7 linked regions of the Danio rerio genome follow. The protein of the gene in region 1 purifies or fractionates together with the protein of each later gene. This does not show direct contact. Links are inferred from orthologs where the notes say so. Each region holds a gene or a part of one and is shown on either strand. Other genes may lie near its edges.

Evidence for each region.
Region 2: the proteins of eif4g1a (region 1) and eif3ba purify together in Homo sapiens (affinity purification with western blotting; 7 studies listed by BioGRID and IntAct, with this or other methods). This does not show direct contact. The link is inferred for Danio rerio from reciprocal best matches to the Homo sapiens genes EIF4G1 and EIF3B.
Region 3: the proteins of eif4g1a (region 1) and hnrnpd purify together in Homo sapiens (affinity purification with western blotting; 5 studies listed by BioGRID and IntAct, with this or other methods). This does not show direct contact. The link is inferred for Danio rerio from reciprocal best matches to the Homo sapiens genes EIF4G1 and HNRNPD.
Region 4: the proteins of eif4g1a (region 1) and eif3ja purify together in Homo sapiens (affinity purification with western blotting; 3 studies listed by BioGRID and IntAct, with this or other methods). This does not show direct contact. The link is inferred for Danio rerio from reciprocal best matches to the Homo sapiens genes EIF4G1 and EIF3J.
Region 5: the proteins of eif4g1a (region 1) and eif3f purify together in Homo sapiens (affinity purification with mass spectrometry; 3 studies listed by BioGRID, with this or other methods). This does not show direct contact. The link is inferred for Danio rerio from reciprocal best matches to the Homo sapiens genes EIF4G1 and EIF3F.
Region 6: the proteins of eif4g1a (region 1) and eif4a2 purify together in Homo sapiens (affinity purification with mass spectrometry; 6 studies listed by BioGRID and IntAct, with this or other methods). This does not show direct contact. The link is inferred for Danio rerio from reciprocal best matches to the Homo sapiens genes EIF4G1 and EIF4A2.
Region 7: the proteins of eif4g1a (region 1) and pdcd4b purify together in Homo sapiens (affinity purification with western blotting; 3 studies listed by BioGRID and IntAct, with this or other methods). This does not show direct contact. The link is inferred for Danio rerio from reciprocal best matches to the Homo sapiens genes EIF4G1 and PDCD4.

The regions. Positions count from the first base shown.
Region 1 is NC_133177.1:19,167,769-19,171,936, reverse strand, and holds the start of eif4g1a (eukaryotic translation initiation factor 4 gamma 1a), read right to left. Parts: upstream 2,801-4,168; 5' UTR 2,607-2,800; intron 2,493-2,606; 5' UTR 2,375-2,492; intron 1-2,374.
Region 2 is NC_133178.1:40,726,185-40,729,684, reverse strand, and holds the end of eif3ba (eukaryotic translation initiation factor 3, subunit Ba), read right to left. Parts: intron 3,471-3,500; coding exon 3,398-3,470; intron 3,314-3,397; coding exon 3,191-3,313; intron 3,114-3,190; coding exon 3,035-3,113; intron 2,942-3,034; coding exon 2,803-2,941; intron 1,968-2,802; coding exon 1,842-1,967; intron 1,747-1,841; coding exon 1,669-1,746; intron 1,555-1,668; coding exon 1,446-1,554; intron 710-1,445; coding exon 609-709; 3' UTR 597-608; intron 519-596; 3' UTR 44-518; downstream 1-43.
Region 3 is NC_133185.1:5,488,728-5,492,993, forward strand, and holds the start of hnrnpd (heterogeneous nuclear ribonucleoprotein D0), read right to left. Parts: upstream 2,801-4,266; 5' UTR 2,610-2,800; coding exon 2,449-2,609; intron 1-2,448. UniProt on the Homo sapiens protein: Binds with high affinity to RNA molecules that contain AU-rich elements (AREs) found within the 3'-UTR of many proto-oncogenes and cytokine mRNAs.
Region 4 is NC_133200.1:34,325,564-34,329,632, forward strand, and holds the start of eif3ja (eukaryotic translation initiation factor 3 subunit J-A), read right to left. Parts: upstream 2,801-4,069; 5' UTR 2,709-2,800; coding exon 2,687-2,708; intron 2,550-2,686; coding exon 2,461-2,549; intron 1,991-2,460; coding exon 1,933-1,990; intron 689-1,932; coding exon 597-688; intron 188-596; coding exon 70-187; intron 1-69. UniProt on the Homo sapiens protein: Component of the eukaryotic translation initiation factor 3 (eIF-3) complex, which is required for several steps in the initiation of protein synthesis.
Region 5 is NC_133176.1:11,701,863-11,705,976, reverse strand, and holds the start of eif3f (eukaryotic translation initiation factor 3 subunit F), read right to left. Parts: upstream 2,801-4,114; 5' UTR 2,774-2,800; coding exon 2,662-2,773; intron 2,483-2,661; coding exon 2,412-2,482; intron 1,274-2,411; coding exon 1,194-1,273; intron 40-1,193; coding exon 1-39. UniProt on the Homo sapiens protein: Component of the eukaryotic translation initiation factor 3 (eIF-3) complex, which is required for several steps in the initiation of protein synthesis.
Region 6 is NC_133177.1:8,053,991-8,057,490, reverse strand, and holds part of eif4a2 (eukaryotic initiation factor 4A-II), read right to left. Parts: intron 2,491-3,500; coding exon 2,358-2,490; intron 2,200-2,357; coding exon 2,060-2,199; exon of another isoform or gene 1,975-2,059; intron 1,734-1,974; exon of another isoform or gene 1,663-1,733; intron 1,573-1,662; coding exon 1,404-1,572; intron 1,354-1,403; exon of another isoform or gene 1,283-1,353; intron 1,214-1,282; coding exon 1,104-1,213; intron 1,081-1,103; exon of another isoform or gene 902-1,080; intron 1-901. UniProt on the Homo sapiens protein: ATP-dependent RNA helicase which is a subunit of the eIF4F complex involved in cap recognition and is required for mRNA binding to ribosome.
Region 7 is NC_133197.1:31,553,001-31,556,500, forward strand, and holds part of pdcd4b (programmed cell death protein 4b), read right to left. Parts: intron 1,595-3,500; coding exon 1,500-1,594; intron 1,418-1,499; coding exon 1,304-1,417; intron 1-1,303. UniProt on the Homo sapiens protein: Inhibits translation initiation and cap-dependent translation. May excert its function by hindering the interaction between EIF4A1 and EIF4G. Inhibits the helicase activity of EIF4A. Modulates the activation of JUN kinase.

The sequences.
Region 1 (4,168 bases):
ATAGAGTGCTTGGACCCGGAAGCTGCTTCGCGTGATGTCACACTTAACAAGCGGATAGCAGTTCCTTCATGTTTTTATTTTATTGTTAAGAAAGTGAAACAACATGTTCTCAACATGTTGTCAAGGGTCTGTTTTCTATATCAAACTTGCGTAGTCTGAACTTACAGGGGGATGATGCAAAACTGAACGGTGTGTGTAGGCTACTTAATATTAAGGAAAAGCCTCAATCAGAGAGGCGAATGTCTGCAGCCCCGCCTCTGTTTTCAGATGTTTCTGTTTTCCCCCATCAACACTGAGACAAAGCAGCAGCATTTTAGGATGAAAACGGCCTCTTAAGCTTTTCCAAAACGCTCCGTTTTCGGCACTCAAAAACTTTGGCGTAGTGTGGATGGCATATCCATAGCAAAACTTATGTTTTCAAACTAAAACGCATTAGTGTAAACTGGGCCTATGATTACAGAAAAGTTTGAGCTGTTATAATTCACTCACCTTTTAACACGTTTTGATGAGGTTATATGCCGCTATCAAAAACCAACAACAACTACATGTTTTGAATGAGAAGTAACGTAGTAGTGGCGGGGTGAATTTTGGTGTGGCGCCTTGCCATGGAAGGATGAAAGTAGAGGAAGCCATGTTTCTATAATACATCTGCATGAATGCAAAATGAAAATAAACAACTGTTTCTGCTACTCTAATAAGCGCAAAACTACACTATTTAAATTTGTGTTAGAATCAAGGCTGCAAAGTATGTCCTGCCTTTTACATTTTATTCAGTCAATTGACTTACAATTTCAGAAGACAGCAGTTTAAAGCACATTACACCCTATCCTGTAACAAAAAAGTCAATAGGCGAAAAGTAGGCTGTGCTTTGTGGATTTCTGAATGCTTTGACCACATGAGCATTTACACTACAAAAGCGACACTACAAATCTGTAATCAAATGCATCTGACAACCTCTGGAGGTGGTCAAAGGTAGACAATACCAAACCATTCAAAGCCCATTTACACCAGCATTTTGTGTTATCCACAAAACGTGCAAGCTTAAAAATAGCCAAAAGCTTTGTTTAAAATGGGTTGTCAGTTATTCATGTTCACAGAATAAAGATTTTCTTAAGCATTACTCTAACGATGATGCATTGCACGCTCATTCACTTCCATCCCCCACACCATTAAAGTAAATGTTAACTGAGGTCGTCATTCCACAGATTTGGGTGTGCATTAAACTTCTTATCTGTGGTTATCAACCTTTTAACTATTCAGTACAGTAGACTGATTTATATGAGGACCAAATACAATATTACAAGAGACCAGATACTCAATTTAACGCAGAAAGCGAAACTCCAACATAAAAACGTAGTAAAATAATGTTAATAACATAAAACAGAAAATGTTTAATCAGGTTATCCACATAAACACTAAAGTGCATGCAGTTAAAAAGAAAAAAAAATTATGGGGTAATTTCCAAAATGTTAAGTTTCCTGCAAGCTCTGTTCCCGAAAGTGCGATGAAGCAGCGCGCTTCTCCTACAGACGTGTCACACCGCAGCCATGATGCTCTGCCGGCGCGGCTAACAGCGCTAGCCTCCTCCATATGGCACTGACACGTTAACATACTCTCAGCGGTCTCCACCAAAACAAGCTTTTCGTTTTAGAACAAAAAAGTTAACCACATCAACAACACGCTATACACATAAACCCACGTCGGAAACTATGTGTAGATTTAGCAAAAACAAACTGGGCCCTCAATAAACGTGTGGGGAAGTGTGCAGTCGCCCGCACTAGCTTATTAGCTTCCCTCTCCAAATCAATGACACACTGGAATCTGACTGGCATGTCGTTTATTTTGACTGTATCGTTATATATACACAACTTAATGTAAAGTTTGGCTTTTTGATGAGGAAAAAACGTTAAATTACGCACCGGACAAACTTATTCCACCGTCCTCGTGCTGGCATTCCCACAATTCATCACGAGATGATAAGACGTTTAACGGAAACAAATGCGTTTAAATACAACAGAACAACCGACTCATCAACAGTTCATATGTCATTTTAACACAAACCTTACGGGGTCAAATAGTCTCGTGTATTTATATTCCCGATATGTCAGCAGATTGACACCCCGAAACACGAGCAATACGAAAGCGTGAAACTGGAATAGCGAAAAACCGAGGAAATAACACCCAACATGGAGAAAATACTACACAGATATTAGTGGCAACTTAAGGGAGAGCGTTTAACGGAAAAAATAGTTTGATAGGCGAACACAACTCAGCATTAAACCCGTCGCCAGTGTCAATCTAGGCCCGCTTGGCCCCTGCGATTATCGGTTTAAACGCGGCTATCAAAGTTAGCATAGGCAGTAGGATTACTCACCGGCTCCGCAGACAAACGGGGAAACTTGAGGGCGAGACGTCGTCAACGTGTTTCTGGAAAGTTTCTTTTTGCTATTCTTCGTTGTTAACGGAGGGCGTCTTGGTTTCCTCGGGAATATCTGGGTAAACAGAGGGAGAAGTGTTGGCTAGCGGCTGACACTTTAGGTTTAAATCCCATGTAGCGTGCAAAGGCGAGAAAAAGTGACAGTATGGGGGAAAAAGAGAATAAATACAGTTTTCAGATGTTACTGCCGACAGAGCTGATGGCCCCAGGACGAGCCTCTTGACTGGAGGTCCATGTTTAAGGCGCGGATGGTGACGGATTGCCGGTAAGTTGATCACACTTGTCTTAATAAACGCGATTAGAGCAGAGCCATGGTGCTTCAGCGCTTCTCCCCTTGAGCCCGCAGAACCGGACGGAGTGCTCAGTGAGATGCGTGGGTACTTCCGGGTTAATCAACCTGAGCGCTGCGGGGTCATTCGCCAAGGGTAGAAATCATACGGCGCGATAATAAAAGTCTCTATCGAATAATCTAAATGTATTTATTATAGCCTCGCATACGGAAAATAAATACATATTCCAGGCCTGCAGCCAGCCTATCGAAATAGGATTTTAAACACTTTTTTTCTGGATCAGCTTTTCGCATGGTCACACTTTTTGATGTTCCAAAACATTGATGTAACAAAAAAAGAGATTTGGAATAAAGAAATAATACAATAATATATACAAAAATATATGCTTATTTTAAAAATACAAATTTAATAAAGGTGGTGCCGTAGGTAGTGCTGTCGCCTCACAGCGAGAGGGTCGCTTGTTCAAGCCTCAGCTGGGTCAGTTGGCATTTCTGTGTGGAGTTTGCATGTTCTGGATAAGTTGGCGGTTCATTCCATGGTGGCACACCCGGATTAATAAAGGGACTAAGCTGACAAGAAAATGAATGAAATTTATAACATCAAATATCATTGGAAAAAATAAGAATCTGTTTTTAAAAAAAAAGTGTAGCCCATTATCATTTATGAGACAAATAACAAACTGGCCAGCACATTCAACTTTCTCATTCAGAATTTGATACACTGATTCTGGCATCAAAATTGCCAAATTCGGTATCCCAAATTCTGTACCGACAGCCAACAGGATTCGGCTTGGGCTCAAACACTTTTTCGATGTGTTATTTTCACAATTCATTATGGCTTAGCAGTCAAAATGGGATAAATGAGCTTTGGTATGGGACAAATTCTGGACCTTTGTCAGTGAGGGGTGGGTCTTCCGATCCACTTAAACCTCCCCTATGGGCCTGTATTCACGTATAAAATGTAAGGTTGTAAATATCGGAACACCTCAGGATTGTGTGTTTAGTTTTCCTTTATTTTTCAATAAATAAGTTGTTCCAAACATTTTGAGATTCTTTAGTTTTTTGAGATTCTTTAATGACATACTAAAATTTGACAGGCCTGTCATTTCTTTTGACTGTATCGTTATATTTACATAAATTATTAAGTTTGGCTTTATGATGAGAAAAAAAATTGTCAAATCAGGCACCGGACAAATTAATTGCCAGTGATAAAAAGAATGCTGAAAAATCATACTCAAGTAAAAGTACCATTACTTGCCCAAAAATATAGTGCAAGTAGAGTAAAGTTATCTGTTGTAAATATTACTCAAAGTATAAGTAAAAAGTAACCTTTATAAAAGTACTCAAGAGTAGTGAGTATTATGCTGGAAAAAATTGATGCGTTGAAATGTAATTTGTGCGTGTGTGTGTGTGTGTATGTGTGTGTGTGTAAACGTAACATT
Region 2 (3,500 bases), on another chromosome or scaffold:
AGCTTGCTTCAACAGAAGAAAAAAAAAAAAAACACAACAAAAGTTTGGATTTCAGTTAAACTTTATTCCCTTGTTGTGCATTTAATATCAGGTAATCTGAATGGAGGAGGATACAGACCACTGTAGTGCCATTTTCGCACACTAGAGTACAAGTTTGCCTTTGGGAAAACCTTAGGAAATGAAATGTTTTCCTTCAGTGAGATGATGTAAAAACAGTTTATGGCATATTGTGCCATGGTGACACCCTTTTGATGAGGTAGATCAACCGACGGCAGGAACAAGAACGTGTTATGATCAGATCCACCGAGAGCAGGCCAGAATGATGTTGGCAGGGCGGTTCCTCTCAGAGCTGGATGATTTTTGTTATTAAAAAGCAGCAGTCAACAGTGGCACAAAATTCTCCTTCCCCAGTGACCAGTATTAAAAGGCACTTGACTGATGATAACAAGGAATTCTCTTATAGGGTGATCCCTCAATTTTTTCTCCAATGCTTGTCCACACTCCAGTAAAAACGAATTCTGAAGATAACAAAACATCAGGTCAGTATTACCGTGCCAAGGTATGTCAAAGATGTGCCATAACACTGCACACATTACCTGCTGTTGCAATTACAGATCTCCGATGGGAATAATTTCTTCATTGATGAAAAACTCAATGGTCTCTTCCTCCCAGTCATCAACATTGCTGTCCAGCTCATCAGTGTCCACGCCTAGAAAGCATAGAAAAATCCATTGAGGACTAAAATCCCATTCAACATATGTACACCTCTAAGAAAGGGCCGCTACAAACATAACATTTTTCACATGGAACTGATCACAAATGTCCAGCTGAAACGCACTACCATTTCCAACTGATATCAACATGTTCAAATGCATCTCATGACCACCTGTGTTTGAATTTTGTCAAGATATTTTATTATTTCGTCACTTTCTGCTTCACCTTTACAAAAGCAATCTGTATTTTGCACGTTTCATCCAGTCACAAGTAAGACTAAGACCATCATGAATGAAATTTCTGAATTATACAGGGCTAAACACTATGGATTCTTTTCTAATGACCCAGTTAGGCTAGTTAAAAAGATTTGTACCTGCTTTAAAAAAAATTTAATAATAATAATAATAATAAAATGAAGTTATTTCTTAGCTGTATACATAAAAAAATGTGCAAAACAATCAAACACTAGTCGTACACAAACCTTTTTTTAACTAAATTATATATTTTTTAAATGTATTTAGCTAGGGTGAGTAACAACAAGGTTGCATAACTAAAAATTAAACTGACTGCAACTGAGTATAATGATCAAGATTAGATCAAGAAACTGCAATTAGGCAACGTGGAATAATCACAAAAAACCTGATCTAGAGAAAAGAGAAGTGCACTGAAACCCTGTGCTTTCTGAGCAAGCTGCTGATGGATGAATTAAACTCGACATTGGACATCATTACCTCCTCTGAGTTCGAGGCGGAGAGGTCTCTGCTCCTGGTACATGTCCATGGCTCTCTTGCGGTGCTTGCGATACTCCTCCATCATGGTACGTCTCTTGTCCACCAGTTCCTATAAAGCACAAGACACTCAAATCTAAAGAGGACCACTCAACTTGAAAATGTGTGCATCCTAGTGTGGTAAAAATAAAAATAATCATTTGAAAGTAATAATAAAGATGCATACCTTTGAAGCCTTGGACTGGCTGAGACGATCTTTCTGCTCAAAGATCTTGGAGTATTTCTTCAAGTCCTTCTTAATGAGCTGTGGGATTAGAAAGGCGAGGAGGGATTAGAGTCGACAGTGAAGGGAGCTGAGGAAGTAATGAGAGTGACCCTGCGTCTGACCCCTCAGCTCACCTTTATCTGCTCTTGAGTCAGGAGAGAGGGCGGACGAGGCCTCCATAGCAGCTGGCAGAAACGCTCCTTGTTGTTCTTCTGCAGCAGGCGACCCTGGAACGTCCACAGCCAGAAGGCATTGTCCACCTATAGCAAAACAAGAAACATTTGATTTACAATACCTAAATCTTTTACATTTAATTTGATTTTTAACGTGCAATTTGATCCTGTCATTTTTCAGCATCATTACTCCATTCTTCATCACAAGATCCCTCAGAAATCCTTCTAATAAGCTTAACTGATGTTCAGGAAATATATATCATCATAAAACGTGAAAAGGAAGTGCACCTTAATGTGGTGCAATTGCAAGTAGGTTATTTGATTAATGGAAAGCCTTTTATTTATAACACATTTTGCAACACGGCAAATGTCTTTATATTTAATTCATTTAATGGATGCCTAGCAAACAAATGCTCTTCTTAAAACACCTTACTGAATTTTAAAACAATGTATAACAATCATTTGACGACATATAAAGGGTTAAATACAGTTTATTTTTTATAAGGCACTCATTGAAATACTAATTTGTTTCTAGTAGGTTTTATAAGACTTCTATTATTTATATAATCAATGTTAATAAAGTAACTTTATATGGTTCTTTACCTGATAAAGATCACAGTGAAAGCCCCAAAACACAAATCAAATGTCATTATAAGTCTCTCTAATCTATTCTATGTTTATTTTTATTTTACCAAACAAATCAGAATAAATGCACTTGAACGATGTTGAAACATTATTTAAATAATATTTTGACATTTTATTTTAATTTCAATAATACAATATTTTAATCTACATTACTTACTGCTTTGTCTATTTTGCATTTCTATCTCTATAAAATAGATTGTAAGATTAATTTGATGCAAACAGCAAAAAGGGAAATATCGTCTTGAACAAATTTTCATTTGGACCATATTAAAATCACCTTGTGACTCCACCAAGAGACAGATGTCACGACGAATCGTCCAGTGGGGTCCCACTCCACATCTGAAGCCATGTAATGCTCGGCGATGTTCATCATGGTGCAGTCTGAAGTGTCCACAAAAGCAAGAGCTCCATTCATGCTATTGAGTGAAACATAAGAAAAGCACAAGTTAAAAAAAAAACAATCTAAAACCTGAAACATTAATACAGCAGAGTATATATTGTAAACAGACCTCCTCAGTCCAGCCAAGACCAAAAACTGCCCCTGGGGACTCCAAAAGATGCTGTTTGCCTGTTGCTTGTCGAACATTTCTAAAAACAACACATTTTTGGTTTCATATTCTGAAAATTTGACATTTATTAAGAAAAATCCATTAAAAATCACTCACTAATTAGGTCGATTTTTCCATTGCTCTTCACATGGTAGAATGATGAATTGATTCTAGGAGATTCTCCATGTAGCACAGCAAATTTGCTTCCATTTGGCTCCCAAGCAAAGGCAATAATGCTGTCTGTAAGATGAAGCATTGGTAGGTAAAGACAGTAATAAAAAGAAAAACACCTCTAAATTCTTAACAAAAAAATCCCCTTTTTACCTTTCATCTCCACCACATCAACAGGTACCTGCTTCTCTCTCATCCTGAAGATCTCAAAGTTGGTGACAACACCCTGAAGTAGAAAAGTAGAAATTGAGAAAAT
Region 3 (4,266 bases), on another chromosome or scaffold:
AGTCAATGGTTACAGGTTTCCAACATTCTTCAAAACATCTTTTGTGTTCAACAGAAGATAAAAACTCAAAGGTTTGGATTTGGAATCTCTTGAGGCTTGAGAAAATAGTGAGAACGTTTTAATTTTGAGGTAAACTTATCTCTTTAGAGTGATTTCTATCTGATTTTAATCAGATTTCAACTCGGGAGGGATAAACTTAACACACCAAAGTAGAGTAAATAGGTTACTTCATTTCATTTATTCTAAAAATGCCTGAGAACATGATATGGATTAGCATGTTTGTCAGACAGCAAATACTGGGTTGTAATTATATGTAATGTGATGTGCAGCACTGTGACTTTTAACATAAGCAGCTCATGATAACAGTGTTTTTAGACTCAGTGCACCTCGGTTCACTGTAAATAAATCCTGCTCTTCTGAATGCCGTCTTCGCGAATGCTGCATTTGAGTCTGAGTCGCTTATAGACCATTTCAATGTGGTCATGTCATTGGCCCATGAACATTTCCTGCATGTTATCAAACTATTTCATAACTGTAACAAGAGGCAATTCAATCGTAACTTGATAAAATAGCTGTCATAACATCATTTATCAATATGTGGCTCTTTTTGGATTCTCGAAAGCTACAGAAATAAAAAATGTAAAACAGGAAATACATTGGGACTATTGTTTTTGTTTACGTCCCATAAAATGGTCTATGATGTGCATTTGAAAATGTAACTGTGATGGAGTATCTTTCCAGGCTAGTCAAGAGAATCTGTTGATTAACAGAAGCATTTCATTATTTTCTTACAAAAATTAAAACAACCATAAATATTAGATTTAATTTTCATTTTAAAAATAAATTAGCATTGCAGATTAGCAGCAAAATAATTGATGTTTATTAACTTTCCATATTGACTATTACACGTGTATACCTGTAGTTATGACCAGTCTTTATAGGAAATAATAATTATATAAACAATGACTACCTTGTATGACTAGTCTAAGTAGTTTCTGCAACCGACCATAGATGATTATATTTCAGTCTTGTTTTGTCATAAAGTAATTCATTTATGCATACTAGACAAAAAAACACCATTCAGTTCTAAATCCGAGTTTCTCAAAATATGCTTTTGTCAAATTGACATTTGACAAAGCTGCATTTGAAAGGCAAATGTATTTGGAAAATGAGTCAACTTGCAGCTGTCCATTAAAGCGACAGTTCACCCAAAACAGAACATTCTGTCATCATTCACTCATCCTCCACTTGAACAAACCTCAATGAGTTTTTTTTTTCTGTAAAAACACAAAAAGGATATTCTGAACATTTTTGGAAATCATTGACTTCCACAGTATATGTTTCCTGCTATGGAAGTCAATGGCTACAGCTTGGCAACATTTTTCAAAATATCTTTTTCTGTGTTCAACTGAAAAAGGTTTGAAACCATTTGAGTGTCTTTCATTTTAGGGTGAACTATCAAACGAATATTAGGGAACACTTTACAGTGAGACGGGCAATACATCTGTTAAAGTATTTATTATTCTTTCATCAATTTACTAAATAAAAATTTAACTGATCATTGTTAATGCATGTAAATGACACAATATTACAGGGTTTCTGCCGCTTTCAACAAGTTAAATTTAAGATTTTTTAAGAAGATTATGAATGAAATTTTAGAAATATACAAGGCTAAATGCTAAGGATTTTTTTTCATTTGAATATTTTTACCTTTTGTCCACTGTATTTAAATTTAATAATACAATAATAATAATTTATTGATGAAAATATATAGGTCAGGTCAGTATCCTTGGCAGTAACTTTTAAACAAATGTTACTGTAAGTAATAATAACTTTATGGTATAAATGTTATTTTTAAAACGACTTTTATAGAGATTGGGAATGTATGGCTGTTAATGGCTAGATTTGGTCGCTACACATGAACAAGGGAAAATTAAGACCTGTTAAAAAGATTTAAGACCTACAACACGATGTTTCAGTATATTTAGACTTCTTAAAGCCTAAAATTTAGCTTTTGAGATTCAAGACAATTTTAGACACAGCAGATACCCTGTACTAGGATATGACTAGTAAGTTATATTTTAAACAAAAGATAGAAAACATTTTAATAAACCTTCATTTACATTAAAATCACCAAATGCTTTGAAAGCATTTCAATTGATAGTCCACATTAATTACTACAAACGTATGCAAAGCGATCAATCGATACTCCGACACACATATTCATGTTATTTACACAACCGGCCACTTTTGATAACGATATTAATATTGCATAATGACCACAAATATTAATGCAATGATTATAATACTTTAAATTAATATAAAACGATTCCTTGTTGATAATTACTCATCTAATCGACTACTATTGGGAAGCGATGTATGAACTCAAGGTTATTTTATTCTTCGGTTACAGTCTGTTCCCATGGTGCATCAGGAGCCGAAACTCACCCTTCGTCCTCCTCATTTTTACTGGCATCAATCTTGGAGCCCTCGGCTTCTCCCTGTCCTCCATTATCCCCCGACATCTGCTCTTCGCCGAAACCTTCTCCATCATCATTTTCCTCCATCTTCATCGTCGGGTCTTCGCCCAGAAACTGCTCCTCCGACATATTTGATCAACTATTGGCGAAAACACGCGCGGCTACAGTCGTTTCTACAGACGAAAACGTCTTAGGTCGTAACCGAAGCGAAATGCCTATAAATCGTGTTAATGCGGCTCAAATTCGCGTTTGTATTAGTCTGATTTCAGAATGTCGATGGCAACGGCGTCCATTCACAAAATGGCGGAGAACCGGAAGTTGAACGGGATGGCGTCACTAAGGTTACAAAATACGTCAACGTCGCTTCACGCTCATTGGCTGTAGGGCTGGAAATCTAGTTTGTTTATCTCAAACCTTTTAAATGCATAATATTGAATTATTATATGTACATTACATATTTTAAAAAAACTTAGTCATAAATGTTGTATAAAATAATCACACGACAAAGAAACATTGGTTTTCTCAGAATTTTTAATCCCTTTATCCAAAAACGTCAGGAAAAGAACTAAAAATACAAAATAAAGGACACTTTTCCTAATCAAGACTTAAGAACACATCAGCACAAAACCTACAGGTTCAATCTGAACAAAGCACAGAATAAGACAAACTTGGGAAACGAAACACCTCGCTATTTACAAGGTTAGACACTGGATTTGTCCCCAGAGGACCGAATAACGTTTTTAATAGTTGTTTAAGGACAGGATTCCACACAAGCTGCCTCCGAGGAGCAATGTCGAAGTCAACCTGCCCACCTACAAGAGAAGAGAGCAGAGATGAATCACCCGGTTTCCACACCTCGAGCAAAGCACGTCCATGTTTCAGTGTTTAACTTCTTGAGCTGTCGATTTTAAACTAGGAAAACCATCATTAAGGATTAAAGATCATATGTTAAACGTCTCCGACTGACAGAACAGCTCATAAGCCAGCAAAAGCCTCAGCTCCAAGCGGTTTGTGGACCAATCGAGGAGCGAGCCCAAACAGGTTAGCCTTTATCCTGTGTAAACGGTATGGTTATTAAAAACTTTAGCCAATCCTTGAACTGTTTTAAATCAGATTTCTCAGCTTTTAATGGCTTCGTAAAACTCACTTTACATATGATCTTTAAAGGCTATGCTTAAGAAAAAAGCACTGAGGTGTACCCATTTGAAGTTCTCTATGGCCTCTAAAGAAAAAGCAAGCATTATGAGAGAGTTTATGCAATTATTTACATGGGGAGGTAACCAAAAACCAAACATTACAAAGAAATAAATTAATAAATCAATCACTGAAGCTCCACAACTGAAATACAAGAGCACTACAATTGAAAAAAAGAGCATACAACAAAGCAGTTATCAATCACTTTTAGGTTACATTAACAAAGTCCTGGAAAAAAACATTTGGAACTGTTAACGAAAACCAACAACTTAATGAAATGGGGGAAAATCTCCTTTGTTTGTTTGTTTTACGCTGGTACAGGAAGTTGGAAGAGACCATACCACAGGACAGCGCTTTCTCGTGCATGCCGTGCTCTCTGCCCGCTATGTGCGACGCCCAGAGAATGACGTGGTCAGGTGACACACGGCCTGCAATGAAGTCCCCGCTGGCAGGTACAAACAAGGTACAATAATCAGAATTAGGGAAAGAAAGGAAAAATAAGGAGAGGCGCCTTTTACTCTGTACCCTTTTAGCCGTACATTACCTGTTAGCATTGCTATCAACTTTTTCTATGTTATTCCTTTATGATCAC
Region 4 (4,069 bases), on another chromosome or scaffold:
TTCAGAATTGAATCTTTTATCCGTTTTAAAAACAAATGTAGATGCATGTTATATACAGAAAGCACTCACCAAATGCCTCTTTTGCTAGTTCTAAGTCTGAATCCTCCTGTAGTTGTTTCACTCTGAGTTTCTCTGCCAGTTCATCTTCTGGTGTGAGTGGTGTGTCTCTTTTTGTCTCCTCTAACTGCTTTAAAAATGTAATGTTGTATACATTTAATGAAAAATATTCTTACAAAATGAATAGCATTTACAATAATTGTTGTACTATAATATATTTTAAAATCTAATTTATTCCTGAAATGTCAAACTCAAAATCTCAGGATCATTATTGCAGTCACATGATCCTCATTCTAATATGATTTGCTGCTCATGAAACACTTATCATCAATGTTTTATAATCAGCTATATATTTTTTGTTAAAACTGTGATATATTTACCCCAAAATCCTTCATGAATGGTTATAGTTATAATACAAGTTCAAAGTTTGTAGCCATATCAAGATAAACTTCAACAGTGACAGCAAAATAAAAAAATAAAAACCCACAATGTGAATTAAATGTGCTTAATATCAATAAATTGTTACTGCGCCAACTTACTTGTTTTCTGAGCTCCTCTTGTTTTTTCCTTTGTAAATTTTCCTTTTCTTTTATCTTTTCACTGAGTTTCTTTTTTTCTGTAGGTTTAGCCTCTGCATATGAAAAATCCAAACAAAATCGCATACAAACGTTACAAACTGAAGTACCTGATCAGGGTTTCTGCAGGTTTCATCCATTCAAATGTAAGAGTTTTTAAGACCCCTTTAAGACATTAAGAATGACATTTTAGACTTATGCAGGGTTGAGATTTATCCTAATGGCCTGGTATTGTCCTGAGGAATTGAGTAATCATTTTTAGTTTTTTTTTCTCCTGATTAGGCCATTTAATTTGGGGAATTTTCTGTAAGAAATGGCTAACAGCTGTTGGGAATGTATCTTTTTGCAATAAAAAAAACTTTAATTTAAAAAATAAGGTTTTATTGAGACACATTGTGGATGATTGGATGGATTTCGGTTGAGTAACTTTACTTGGACAAAACAAAATTAAGACCTGTTTAAAATTATTTAAGACCTAAAACACAATATTTGAGTGAATTTAGGAGTTTTTAAGGCCTAAAATGTAGTTGAAATTTAAGACTATTTAAGACTTTTAGGACCCTGCAGATGCTTTGTAATTATGTGAATTTAAATGTGGATAATTTACAGTCTTTTAAAAAAATATTTTTAAAATAGTTTGTATATTCATGCATGTAGATTTATTTAGTTATAGAGCCAACTACAAAATAAAAAAATTCATAACAGACGTCCCATTTTGGTGTGCAGATATACACAGTTAGCATGTCAAATGAGATGATGTAATATTTCAAATATTATTTGTGAAAAAAGCATGTCGAAATATTGTGAAAAGGGTTTCTCGTCATTTAGTGTAATGTATACTTATTTTGACCTGTACTTAAAACAAATTAACTTAAACTTTATGAATTTTTAAAAGTATTAAAATCTATGGTAAATAGATACTAATAGATAAAACCTAGTAGTTCTAGTATTTCTCTTGGTTTCTCAATACTTTATTATTATTAAAAAAAAAATTTTTAAATAATTTTTGCTTTGTATAAAGTTAGTTTTATGTACTTTAAAAACTTGCTTTATAAGTAATTGAACTTGGTTTAAAGGACAAAGGCGAAATTACAAAGATTAAAAATGACAGTAAGTATTTTGAGGCTTCAACGTGATTGCTTAAATAGTTTAATATATCATCAAATTATTATTGTTCTTCACTGATAGCCTCATGGTCACTGCGCAACATATGCTTTGATGCTTCAAAATCCTTTTTGGCCTTTGACCCCATTTTATCCTAACAATGCACTTTTCCCCCAACTCATGAACATCACTGTACCTGTCTTTTTTTCCTCCTCTTCCTCCTTTTCTTCCTCTTCATCATCATCCCAATTATCCTAAATGGAAAGGAAGAATACTTTTAATTAATAAATTAGTCCACTTCATCTTCGTTGCTAGCCTAAGAGAAGCATTAACATTCTCAAACTTTCCTTTTATGAAATCTCCTTGGGATGATCCAATAATTTTAAATAATCAACAGGTGACAATCTACAGTGACATGCTGCTACAAAAGGCCATCTACACTAACAAAACTATTAATTGTAATTAAAGGCCTAGAGAAATGGAACTGACTCATATAATTACTATAATTTCACTGTTTAACTTATGACAGCGTATTTAAGCAGGTATACACCAAACTAAATAGACACGTATTAGGACTTATCACCACGTTGTTTTGACACTCTTGAGTTAGCAAGAGTAGCTAGCTAAAGTTAGCCAACTGTAATGTCTTGATATGTAGGGATTAAAGAAGAGTTAAAACAGTTTTTTTTACTTGAGAACGACAAATTAAGGGTTCGTTACTAACTTTCACGTCGTCGTCCTCATCCTCGCCCTCCCATTTGTCATGAACTGCCGCCTTTTTGATGGGCTCCTCAGGCTCGAAACTGTCCGCATCTGGAAAACGACCGATTGTTCAGACAGATCACTTAATGACAGGCGTATTTTTGGCGTACGTTTATCTGGTAGAAAAGATTATATGTTTCCAAGCGAATAGAAGAGAAAGATAACGGTGGAGTTTAAGAAATTCTCACCCCAAGAATCGGCGTCCGCCATGATGTCAGAGTCGCTGAGGGGAACGAGAGAGTGAAGCTCAACTCACTGCACCAAGACTTCCGGAAATTTCAAAATAAAGGTCCACCGATGGACGGTAGGGAAATTTTACAAACAAGTAAATTGTGCAGTACCATGAGGAATACCATTATCAGACATTGTTAATTTTTTTAACACACAATCAAATAAAATGTCGTTTTGTGGCTTTTAGATTGTGTATTAGTTCAAGACAATCATTTGTTTGCTAACTGTAACTTTTATTAGATTGTGTAGTGTGTGTGATCTAGTGCGGCTTCTAGAAAACAAACAAAAATATTGACTCATCCTGCACTACTGATTTTGTCCAATTAAATTGAGTATATGTACATTGACTTTTAAGATCTGAATTCTTTTTTTTAATGTGATCTTTACTTCCTGATTGATATATGAAATAAAGTTGGTCTAGACTGGACAAGAAGTACTGCATTAAGTTGATTTCTTGCGTTATGTCTTTAAAATATGGAAATGTATTTTCTGTGGAGTTTCTGCACTAGCACGCTTCTACTGATGACACTTGCGTTTACGCAATCGTTCATCTCGTTTTACACTTAAACAACTTAATAAATGATTAAGTCTATTAAACTGATTGTATTTCAATTACATTACAACATCGATGCTATTAAAGGAACCTTATAGACGAATTACCATGTTTTTAAACATTCAGGATGCGCGCGCAGGGAGTGGCAGAAAAAAAAGGGGAGCGCTAGCATTTACAGCGAGGGAATGACATCCGATGCGGAGTTTGTTGACTTAGAAGTAAGTTATACTGATTACATATTATATATATATATATATATATATATATATATATATATATATATATATATATATATATATATATATATTATTATATATATATATAAATATATATATATATATATATATATATATATATATATATATATATATATATATATATATATTATTTTTTTTAATATATATATATATATATATGCATGATTTACATAATGCTTTCAACGTATTATAACAGCTTGTCACCCAGTGATAAGTACAGTGATTTGGCAAAATTAACGTTAAAGTGAGTGATGTGAGTCGCGAAAGCACCCTCCCAATGAATATTGGATAAGACGAAATGGCCAAGCATCCTGCCCCAAATATACAACTCTCTCATCGAAGCTCCAAGTGTTTTAACAAGATTAAGAAATAAGTGTAAGAAATAATGTTCCATGATTACCAGATTCAAAACTATGTAGTGCTAAAAACAGAGGTTCTGCTTGGCCAAAGACAAGGAAAGCAGACGGAGCCAACGTTAACTTACACATAGAGGTAAAGTTGGTTTTATATTCACACATTCTGACTTTCTC
Region 5 (4,114 bases), on another chromosome or scaffold:
AGAACCGAGTGCTCAGTGATGTCAAATCCTGTGGCATACCTGCAAAAACAACACAGCCTCTTTCTTCAGTGAAACAACATTCCTTAAGTTTATCTGAAATCAGATTCTATTATTATATTTTGAAATATTTTAGATAGTCATTTTTGTAATATTTTCCATTTTAAGTTCTAATAATTCTGTTACCTGTATAATTATTCTTTTTTGATATATAGATATAACCTACATTATGGAAGCTACCCTGTCACAGTAATCAATATATGAACTTATCGCATTGATAAGCCGTGTCATATTATATTGACATGACCTCAGACATTTTTAGTGATGCAATATATATCGCCCATACATAAAAATGAATTCTAGCAACATTTCAGCTGGTTTTGCAACATCTCGATCTCTATTGAGGTGTCAGTATGGTTTAAAAAGCTCTACAGGTTTTACTATAAATTGCTATAGAAGATTTTCATGTGGGTGTCTGACAACTAAAAATAGATCTGCTAGCAGATATCACAGCTTCTGTTACTTTTTGCCTTGCACCTTTTTGTTAACATTTATTATTATTTATGATATGCGTTTTTACAATCTCATTCCAAAGCCATAGGATAACTAAATTAAATAGTCTTAACAATAAAATATTATGTGTTCTTTGTATGAGTGTACTTGCATTGTGGTGATATTATATTGTCATTCTGGTATTATATAATGAGTGGCATAGAATGGTATTAAAATCACAATAAAATCATTTATCGCAATGTATTTTGGTGCAATATACCGTACAACAAAAACTAGATATATCGTGACAGGCCTAATGGAAGCTTGCTTTTACAATGGAATAAAAGGCAAATATACTTAAAAAAAAGAGTAGCAATATAAACTGAACTGTAAGAACAACAAATGAAAATGAAATGAATATCTGAATTGTGAAATATAAACTTGTAAACATGAGATATACATTTAAAATGGCTGCAAAAATAAATCATGGGACTGTAGGAGAAAAAAATATCATTTTATTTAATTTTCTTATTTTAGTTATTTTACCATAGCGCAAAGCAAAATGCATTAAATGAAAAATAACAAATGTTCACAAAAGTTTCTAAACCTTCTAAAAATATAACAAAAAATGTGCTTACAACAATAACTTAACAAAACTTTAGCAAAGAAAAGAATTATATTAATTTGGAAATGCGGCCACATACCATCCAACAATGACTTCACTCGGCGAAACCTTCTTATGAAGCTCATACATGTTCTTGGCGAACTCCATGTCAACAGCCACCTATTTAAAAAAAATAAAATAAAAATAATTTTAAAAGGTAAATAAATTGCACAATGATGATGATTAAATGCTGGTGCTCCTTAGTAAAGCATAAATAACATATGGTACATGTCCAAAAATACAGTAGCATGTAACATGACACTTTTGAATTAAGTTGGTTTTATATTTGAACATTCAGACACTCGTGTTCAATAAAATAGTAAAGCAAATTTTAAAGAGGCTAATACAGATTCATTCATTTTCTTGTCGGCTTAGTCCCTTTATAAATCCGGGGTCGCCACAGCAGAATGAACCGCCAACTTATCCATCAAGTTTTTAAGCAGAGGATGCCCTTCAAGCCGCAACCCATCTCTGGGAAAAGGCTAATACAGATAAATTAGCAAATTGTTATAGTTAAAAAAAAAAAAAAAAAGCTTATGAACTCTATGAAAGGTCCCTACATTGTTTACCAGGCTACATTGAATAATCGGTCTGAAATGCATGACTTCAAAATAGGCATGGGACGATAACCGTTTTCAAGGTACACAGTGATTTAAAAAAAAAACTGATGTTTTAAAACCGCCAAAATTATCTGCTATAGATGAATTACCAGTTTGTAAACAGTAAAAAAAAAAAAAAAAACTGGAGCGCTACCATTTAGCAGAGCCGTAATCACTATGTAATACTGTGAAAATGTGATATTTATATTAAAGAATATTAACGTCAGAATTGTATACCGGCCCATGCCTACTTTAAATCCACATTAGCACCATTTAACTGACTGTAAACAATGTTGTACTTTAATAGTCACTGGCTGTTAATTTGAGTTGACCGTTTAGGATTTGACAAAGAATACCTTTCTGAAATTACATTAAGAAGGTGAAAGTCTGAATGTGCAAATATAAAATCAACTTTACCTCACTTCAATTTTGGCTGATGGTTTGTAAGTGTATTTCAACCAATCAATTAGCTAAAGATGCATAACAACAGAACATGAAATACCACAGATGTCTCACTCGAACCCTTTAGACCATTACAAAGTTACAGTGAGATACCTGTGATGTGAAATTGTTTTGTTTTTCGTTATGCCTAAAAAGCTACATAAATGTCTGGCACACACTAATGTAAAGGATGTATTAGATGATGCTTTTTTTCTCACCTCATCTTCAGACTCGTTGTGAGGAACAGAGAAGCAGTTGGTGACATCGACTGAATGTTTATCTGCTGTTCCTGTTTGACACACAAACACAACCACCAGGTAAGTGATGCTGCTGATCTGTACAGTTTCTCATCCACCCCAGCCATTCAGCTCGACTACAACACATGCTCCACAAGACCAAGCGACGCTCATGTTGTTTGTAATAATCGCAACTGTCTCATAAATCTCACACAAGAATTCAATGACCCACCTAATAATGTCCCGATCACGCGACTCGCTCCTTCATTCCTGCGCTCGTATGAGTCCACAATCGAAGCCAAAACCACCGGGTGGATTTTCACGACCGGGCCGTGCACCGCCATGATTTCGAAGAGGAAGTAAAAGATGATGATAAACAGAGAAGAAGAGCGCGTCAGTGGGATTCGCGCTGCCGCCCCCTAGCGGATGTAGGTGGCTGACAAAATAATGTGTAAAAAATTATAATCAAATAAATAATTAAACACAGCATGTAAAGTTTTAGTGGGTGGGTCAGGTTAAAGTTCTTCGAGGTTTGCTTGGTACATATCCATTTTTTCAATGGACAATTTAATAGCAACACAACTGCATGTTAATGCCAAAAATCGGATCAGCTAACCACATGGCAGCAATCCAAAACATTTAGACATGATGAAAACATGGCCAAGACAACGCACATGAAAAGATAATGGAGTAATTCATAGTAAATTGGCTACGATAGTGTTTTTGAAACAAATGATAGTAAAGTTTATTATACTGTAGGCCTATACTATAAAGTATTAAGTTAACAACACATGCTAATAAATGCTACTGCATTATCTATAATAAACTGTGTAGGCAACTGTAGTATATTTTAGTTTTACAACAGTAAATTGTGATGTATTATCATGTAGCCTAATATATAACTAACCACAGGCTATTGGGCAACTTGTTTTGCTATAGGCCTAGTTGTTGTAATAACATATCATTTAGGCCAGAGGTATCCAATCTAGGGCATGTGGGCCAAACTTGGCCCTTGATAATCTTTGATTTGGCCCACCATCCCATCTGAGAAGAGAGACTGATAGGGAGGGTTGGGACAATTGCCTTTAACAGAGATCTTAATTTCTAATTTAACGCAACCTTGGTTTGTTTGATTATTTTATTGCTGATCTACAAAAAAAAGGTAAATGAAAATAAACAAGTCAAGGCAGAGGGTGCAGCTTTACTAGTGTAACTCCATTCTGTTTTAAATGAATTTTGTTTTACTATAAAAAGTTCATTATACAGGTGAGGCAGTGGCGCAGTAGGTAGTGCTGTCGCCTCACAGCAAGAAGGTCGCTGGTTCGAACCTCGGCTCAGTTGGCGTTCCTGTGTGGAGTTTGCATGTTTTCCCTGCCTTTGTGTGGGTTTCCCCCACAGTTCAAAGACATGCAGTAAAATGGGTAGGCTAAATTGTCCGTAGTGTATGAGTGCGTGTGTGAATGTGTGTGTGTGGATGTTTCCCAGAGATGGGTTGCGGCTGGCATAAAAAACTTGCTGGATAAGTTGGCGGTTCATTCCGCTGTGGCGACCCTGGAATAATAAAGGGACTAAGCCGACAAGAAAATGAATTAATGAATGAAGTTCATTATATAATAAAATCTGCATAAGATAATATGAAGCAATGTTAAAGTTATTTTTAAATATTAAATTAGGAAACCACCAAT
Region 6 (3,500 bases), about 11 Mb from region 1:
ACAGCACGAATGTCCACTTAAGTTCAGATTTTCCAACTAGAGCCTAATCGCAACTGTGCATTGAATTGACATGTAAATCACTTGCACTCGAAGCTTTATCCACGTCTGGCATGAACACAGCATAAGACCAATTGTCTGAAGTGGCCATTTCGTAGCCAAAGTTCTTGAAGCTGACATTTTCCTGGCATGTTTGCTTCAGTTAACAGGTACAGCTTCATGACTGCATTTGACTTAAGTTCCAGTGACTTAAGGTAATTTGCTTGTAAGGTTCCAATTGGGAACCACTGACTTAAATGATGAATTTGAAAGGATTCAAATGGCGCTGAAAAATAGCTCAACAGTACCAGTTGGCAAAACATGTGAAAAAAATAAAATGTTTAACAGTGGTAAAAACTAAAAAGCAAAAAAAGGTTCCTGATATCCCATGAATTGGAATAGCCATATTTTTAATGTCTGAAAAGGAGATTTTAAAATTCCATTATATTCAAGATATTCTAGTATGAATCCTGTGATGACCATGTTCTTTACATGATCATATGAAATAAAAGATGCACAAGATTGAGACATTCATTCACAAAACGGCACTCTGGGGGCCTGAAAACAACCATTTAAAAAAGCTTTTTTTTTTTTTTTTTTTTTAAATGGGTAGATATGGTCTTTTAGTGAACTACAAAAGCACAAGCAGTGAAAACTGACATCTCCTGCATTCATATTACATGGCATGTGCAAGTACAACAACTAATGGTGGAACACAATATTGTGCAGCTCAAGATTGATATGTATTATCTTGCAATTCAACACAGTTTTAATAAGAGTTAATTTGATTATGATTCTGCCATTATGAAAGAAAAAGAAAAATAGTGATGCTAGTATTTCTTCCACAATGTGTTCCAATCAATATGTTTGTTGCTCTGAGCCTTGAAACATAAGCCACTGGACATTAAGAAAGAGGTCCAACTCAGTTTCATTTCCAGCGCAGAGCCATTGCTCTTCTTCCGCATGATACTCTGCTAGCATCATCGCATAAACCAGGAGACCCTGGAGTCTGCAATTTTAGCACAGTTCTTTTGAGCAGAAGGGGTCTATAAAGATTCTAGACTTACTTGAATGTTTGTGCTTAATTTCTGGAAAATCTCATAGATTTGATCCTTGAAGCCACGGCTCAGCATTTCATCAGCTTCATCAAGGACAAACATCTTGATCCATTTGGGAGCTGGAAGTAAACAACATTACGTATTTTACTTCTTATACGCTTAAACAGCTCAAACAAGCTGGTCAAAAAGTATGATCAGTTAAATTAGTGATTATCTCCATAACAGGTCAGTCCCGAAAGATGATGCCATCACTTCATACTTTGCCCTGCATGTTGTTTCAGACTAAATCTATGTGTATCGATTACTTACACAGATACCGCCTGTTCAGCATGTCAAACACACGGCCTGGTGTGCCAACCACAATGTGCGGAGCCTCCGCCTGGAGCTTTTGCATTTCGTTCCGCACATTGGTGCCTCCAATGCAGGCATGGCATGAAGCACCCATGTAGTCACCCAAAGCCAAGATTACCTTCTGAATCTAAAGCATAGACAAAAATGCAGAGTTTAAATGAAAGGAACACCTAGTAAACACAAGTACTGTGTACCATTAATGCAAAGCACTGGACAAGTATGATCAGTTGAAAAGGTCTTCTCCACAAAAGGTCAGTCCCGAAAGATAGTCATACCATCATTTCATACTTGTGCAAAGCTCTATACAGTTACAATAATTGTCAAAAAAAATCACCTGGCAGTCTAACAACCTAATTTCCAAACACTAGCAGTAAATAATCCAGCTCATTAAAGAATGATTGATCGATTAATCTGCCCGAAAAACTACATGGATGACTGCTTCCTGCTGAACAGATGATCAAATTATGCAAATTACAAACAAAATCCACATTTATTGACTGATAAAGCAGGAAGAACAGCAAAAGAGTACCTTGAATTTGGCTACTGCCAGAATATGCCGCCTTGGTCTGAGACACACATCTTATTGTGTTATTGTGAGCTCAGGTACAGCATACCTGCTGAGCGAGCTCTCGGGTTGGTGCCAGGACCAGAGCCTGAGTCTCTTTCTGCTCAATCTCCAGCTGCTGCAGGATGGAAATGGCAAACGTGGCCGTTTTACCAGTCCCTGATTGGGCCTGCGCGATAACATCATAACCTATGGAGAAATCAAGCATCAATAAAAGGACAACAAAAATGGAAACTACTTAACTGTTAGTCTACAAAGAGATGAGCAATACTAAAACCGGATCAATATGTACAGTTTGATTACCAGAGAGGTAATTAAAAACTATTTGTAACTTGAGCTCACTTTACCTTTTATGCAGGGAATTATAGCTCTCTGCTGAATTGCTGAGGGTTTCTCAAAACCATATGCATATATTCCACGAAGGAGAGTTTCCTTCAAGTTCATGTCATCGAAATTGTCCGTAATCTCATTCCAGTTGCTCTGTAAAACAATGTATATGAGATTCAATGAGAATCAGATTGATTACACTTAAATGTTGAACATCTTACTTCAATATTAGAAATTCTCCAACTTAAGGCTATTGCATTTATTTGGAGTAGACATCAAGTTAAGCTATCACTTTCTATATTCTGCGATGTCAATCAATCAAAGTTTGTTGATTTTTTATTTCCAAGATGTTAGTCAGGGGTAGCATTTTTTTTTATAACTGCACAAAGTCCACTAAAACTTTGTATGAATTCTCCACCAAATCTCTGACAAGAACTATAGCTTACTCTACCTTGATCCCATTTGAGGGTTAAAGAAGATAAAAGATTTTGAAAAAAAGGTTAATCAAACTAAGGACAGACTGTAACAAATATTGAGAACTTAACATGAAGTCCAACAACCTCAAAATGACCAGTTAAAAAGCAAGATTTAAGTGCAGCCTTGATTTAAATGCGGAAGGTCTGATGACAATGCATGTACACATGCATGTCACTTGTTTTTGGATATTAATCTCACTTCAAAATTTATGTAATAACACACTGTGTGAGAGAGAGAGTTTTAATTTTATTGCCATTTTAGCGTCTATGGCTATGTAATGGCAAAATGAAAATAGATCAAGTAAAAATATTCTAAGAATTAAGTCATTAACAGCAATAAATGTACAAGGTAAAATATATAAATAATAATAATAATGATAATATAGAAGAAAAATCTAAAACAATAACAATTTCCTTTTGATAAAAATTCTACAACTTTAACACCCACTGTGCGACAGGAAAAACCTAGATTGACAAATTGCATCAAAGAGGGGGTAATTGTTGCTTCAAATGATTGAAAAAAAAAAAAAAAAAAAAAACACGGAAAGAATTGTTTGAAAATTAAGTGGGAACAAACATTCTTTGCTGGCTGCATTTGATGTCAGAAAGTCCCCATTCCAAACTTCTCAAATAGTATATGAGGTTGGTGCGTTCAAGTGCTTTGAAGAAAAGCAGAACCATTAATTC
Region 7 (3,500 bases), on another chromosome or scaffold:
GAGAACAAGTCATAGATTCAAAAGACCAAAGTCGGGGAATATGTCATTAGATATAGATAACAAGAGGAATTAAATACCTCATTTAACAAATATAGTGAGATTAGATCCAGCGGGAGATCCTTGATGAGCAGTCCAACAAGCACAGCTCTCATACAGGTAGATATGCTGCAGCGCATGCCAGTGTGTGTGTGTGTGGTCACGTGATGTGCATTTTCAGTGGTTTTGATGGAGAGCAAGACGGAGAGCTGTTCAGAAACGCTGGGTGAAACGCTAGTGTGGATGCGAATCGTTTTCATTCTAAAACACCGTTTTAAAACTAAAACGCACTAGTGTAAACGGGGCCTAAGACACAACTACTATGATGAAAAATTTAACATCTGAATCTATGCACTCTATGGCACATTTAAATGATTTGTGCAATAGAATTTGTAATTTTAAGTCTTTTAGTGGATGTATTACATCAGAGTTTCTGCAGGTTTCACTTTTCAAGTCATATTTAGGACATATTTTAGACATTTTTAAAACCATTATAAATTAGATTTCAGACTTTTAGAGGGCAAAACGCTATGGAATTTTTGTAATGGCCAGTGGAATTTTTTTATTACTTGCCTCAATAAAATAAAAATTTTGTTATTTCTTAGGAAAATATTTTAAATTATGCGTCAAAACAAGCAAACTCTAGTGACCTATATACATATTTTCATTACCATAACTTTTCTTTAAAAAAAAGAAAGAAAGAAAATGCACAAATACAATAAGAACTTTTAAACTAATGTTATTGTAAGGATGTAAGGAAGATAATTAAACCACATTTGTAAATTTCAGATAGATTTTTGATTGTAGCTTTATATGGAAAATAAAGAAAAATTTAGACCTGCTAAAAAGTCTTTAAGACCTACAACACCATATTTCAGTGAATTTAAGACTTTTTAAGGCCTATTAGTTTTAGTTATAGAAATTTAAGACATTTTAAGACCCACCTGACACCATGTATATAAGAGACCTGCTTTGCTTACAAATAAGTGTTTGCAAATGGAATTGCATTGTAAGGCTTAAATAAAACCTGTTAAGCAAATGTTAATATTTTAGTTAAGTAAATAAAAGTTTTTAATAATTATTTGTCAAGTTTTCAGATCTAATACTTTAAAAATCATTTTGCATCAATATTTTAACCAAACACTGCACAGAAATAGCAAAACAAGTCAGCAAATTCTGTCTGGGCTGCTTATCAGCACATTGGCATGCACGTAAACAAGCTTAATGATTAGATATGAACAAGCAATAGGGGTCATAACAATCTCACCGCCACTTCATTGGCATCTCCATGTTCAAAGTACTCCTGCACGATAGGAGTGACCGTCTTCTCGAACGCCTCTTCATCCAGAGGAAGGACGACCGTCTCGTATACACAGTTTTCCTGGAGGCACAAAATTGTGGATTACATGCCAATTAATTGGTTACGAACTTTTACGAAAGCAATAGTACAATGTGGGTCATACCTGCTCTGCATCGTAATTGGGATCTTTATAATCGACTTCATCTTCGCCATAAACTTCTCCAGGTGTTCCCCAAACACCTTTACCCCCAGCACCACCTACAGAAGCAAAACACATACTTTTGAACACACAAAAAAAAAAAAACTGATGTATAGGAAGAAAAGCAGAACAGAAACCGTGCGACTCTTTAGCCTCATGCTTTAGCCACTGTTCATGTTATTGTCATGCTATGACAGGGTTATGTCTAGTATGAAATAATTCCCCAAAACAGAGGCAGGTTCATTTAATTCACAGTAGCATGACATCATTTCTCGATTCGTGCAGGGCTCTGACCACAAGAGCTAATCTGATACTGAGCTGAGAAACAGAAACCAAACCTAACCTAACCAACATGTGAAAGGCTTAATAAGCTATAAGTGTACAGGCTTTACTAGATAAACTTCCATGCCAATTCAAATATGTATAAATATCTACATTATATTATTGTCTGATAATGTGAGTGTTTCGGTTTATTTCATCGACAAATGAAGATGTATTGAAGAATGTTGAAGAAAAAAAAAAAAAAAAAAAACAGCCATTAACTTCAATGGTAAACCTTTTTTGGTTTCTACTATGGATTTCAATGGCTGCTTTTTCCAACAGTTTCCAGAATACGCGTTTCATTTTGTGTTTAACACAAGAAATAAATTAATTATAAACATTTTTGAACCACTCGAGTGTGATTAAAAGAAGGAGAAATTTTAATTTTGGGGTGAACCATTCCTTTAAGTGATTTTGAGTTGTAGATAAGAAACATGTCCGCCTATGTAGCAATCACCACATGTCGTTCCTGACAGATTTTAAAAAGTGCAAGCAAATATTAGCTGTGTTTTCATTACCTATAATTGTGCATGTTAATATTTCAAATTGAAAACACTTATGTCAATCACAAATTTCCATACAAAGTAACTTTTTTTATGCACAAAGGAGATACTTGGGTTTTAAAATGAAAATATTGCACTTATAGGTCACCTAGCATACAGAAGTATATTATTATCATTCTTTAAAGATATGCTTATGCATTTATTTGTAGGAACTGACTCCTGAGGTCATATTACATTGCATAACTTACAAAAAGAGGATCTTTTCATCCAGAAATTCTAAATCCAATGTTCATCTGTAAAAATCTCATGCCATAATCTCCCAGAAACACTTCATGTGTGGCTGCTTCCAAGAGTAAGGTTTTTTCCTAGTCATTAGTGCTTAGAAAAGTCGTCCACATTATTGCAATATACACAAACCTACGAACAAATCAATTTACAATCATTTTTTTGTATTTGACAAAAATTATATAGCAAACTATTTTCCTTTTACACAAATCTGCTACAGAATCCAAGTTTATGACTACTGAAGTGCTGTGTTCTTTTTCTTCATCTTAAATTGTGGTTTAAACTTTGCTGTTGTTTTAGATACAGAACAATTTTCAGAACTCGGTTTATATTGTGATTGATGTGAAAGGGCTTTATTTTCACCAAGCAGCAACAATCCCATCATCTCGCTTTGATTTTGCCACATTTAAAATTTATGAAAGAATTTGGTCAATCTCACAAGCATACTTAAGAAAAAAAAAAAAAGAGAGAGAGAGAGACATGCTTTTTAAATTGGACGTTGAAGCATATAGAACCATTGCATCATTTTCCCATCCACTACGATGCACTACTACTGTACATGTAAACTAGGGCTGCACAACATATCATTTTACCATTGATATTGCAATGTGCGCTCCCGCAATAGTCACATCACAAGATCTGCAATGTTAAATCTGTATTATTATTATTGATCAGATTTTGGAAAACACTCATGATTTGTGATGTTTTTTGTAACATTTATCATTTTTATGTTTAATTCAGTTTAAAAGTAATCAGGCAAAATAAATTAGATTTTTAACTTTAAGGAAAATGTATTGCATTTATGTATACTATATGATGTTATTTAACATTTTATTATTACATGTGTTCATCTAAA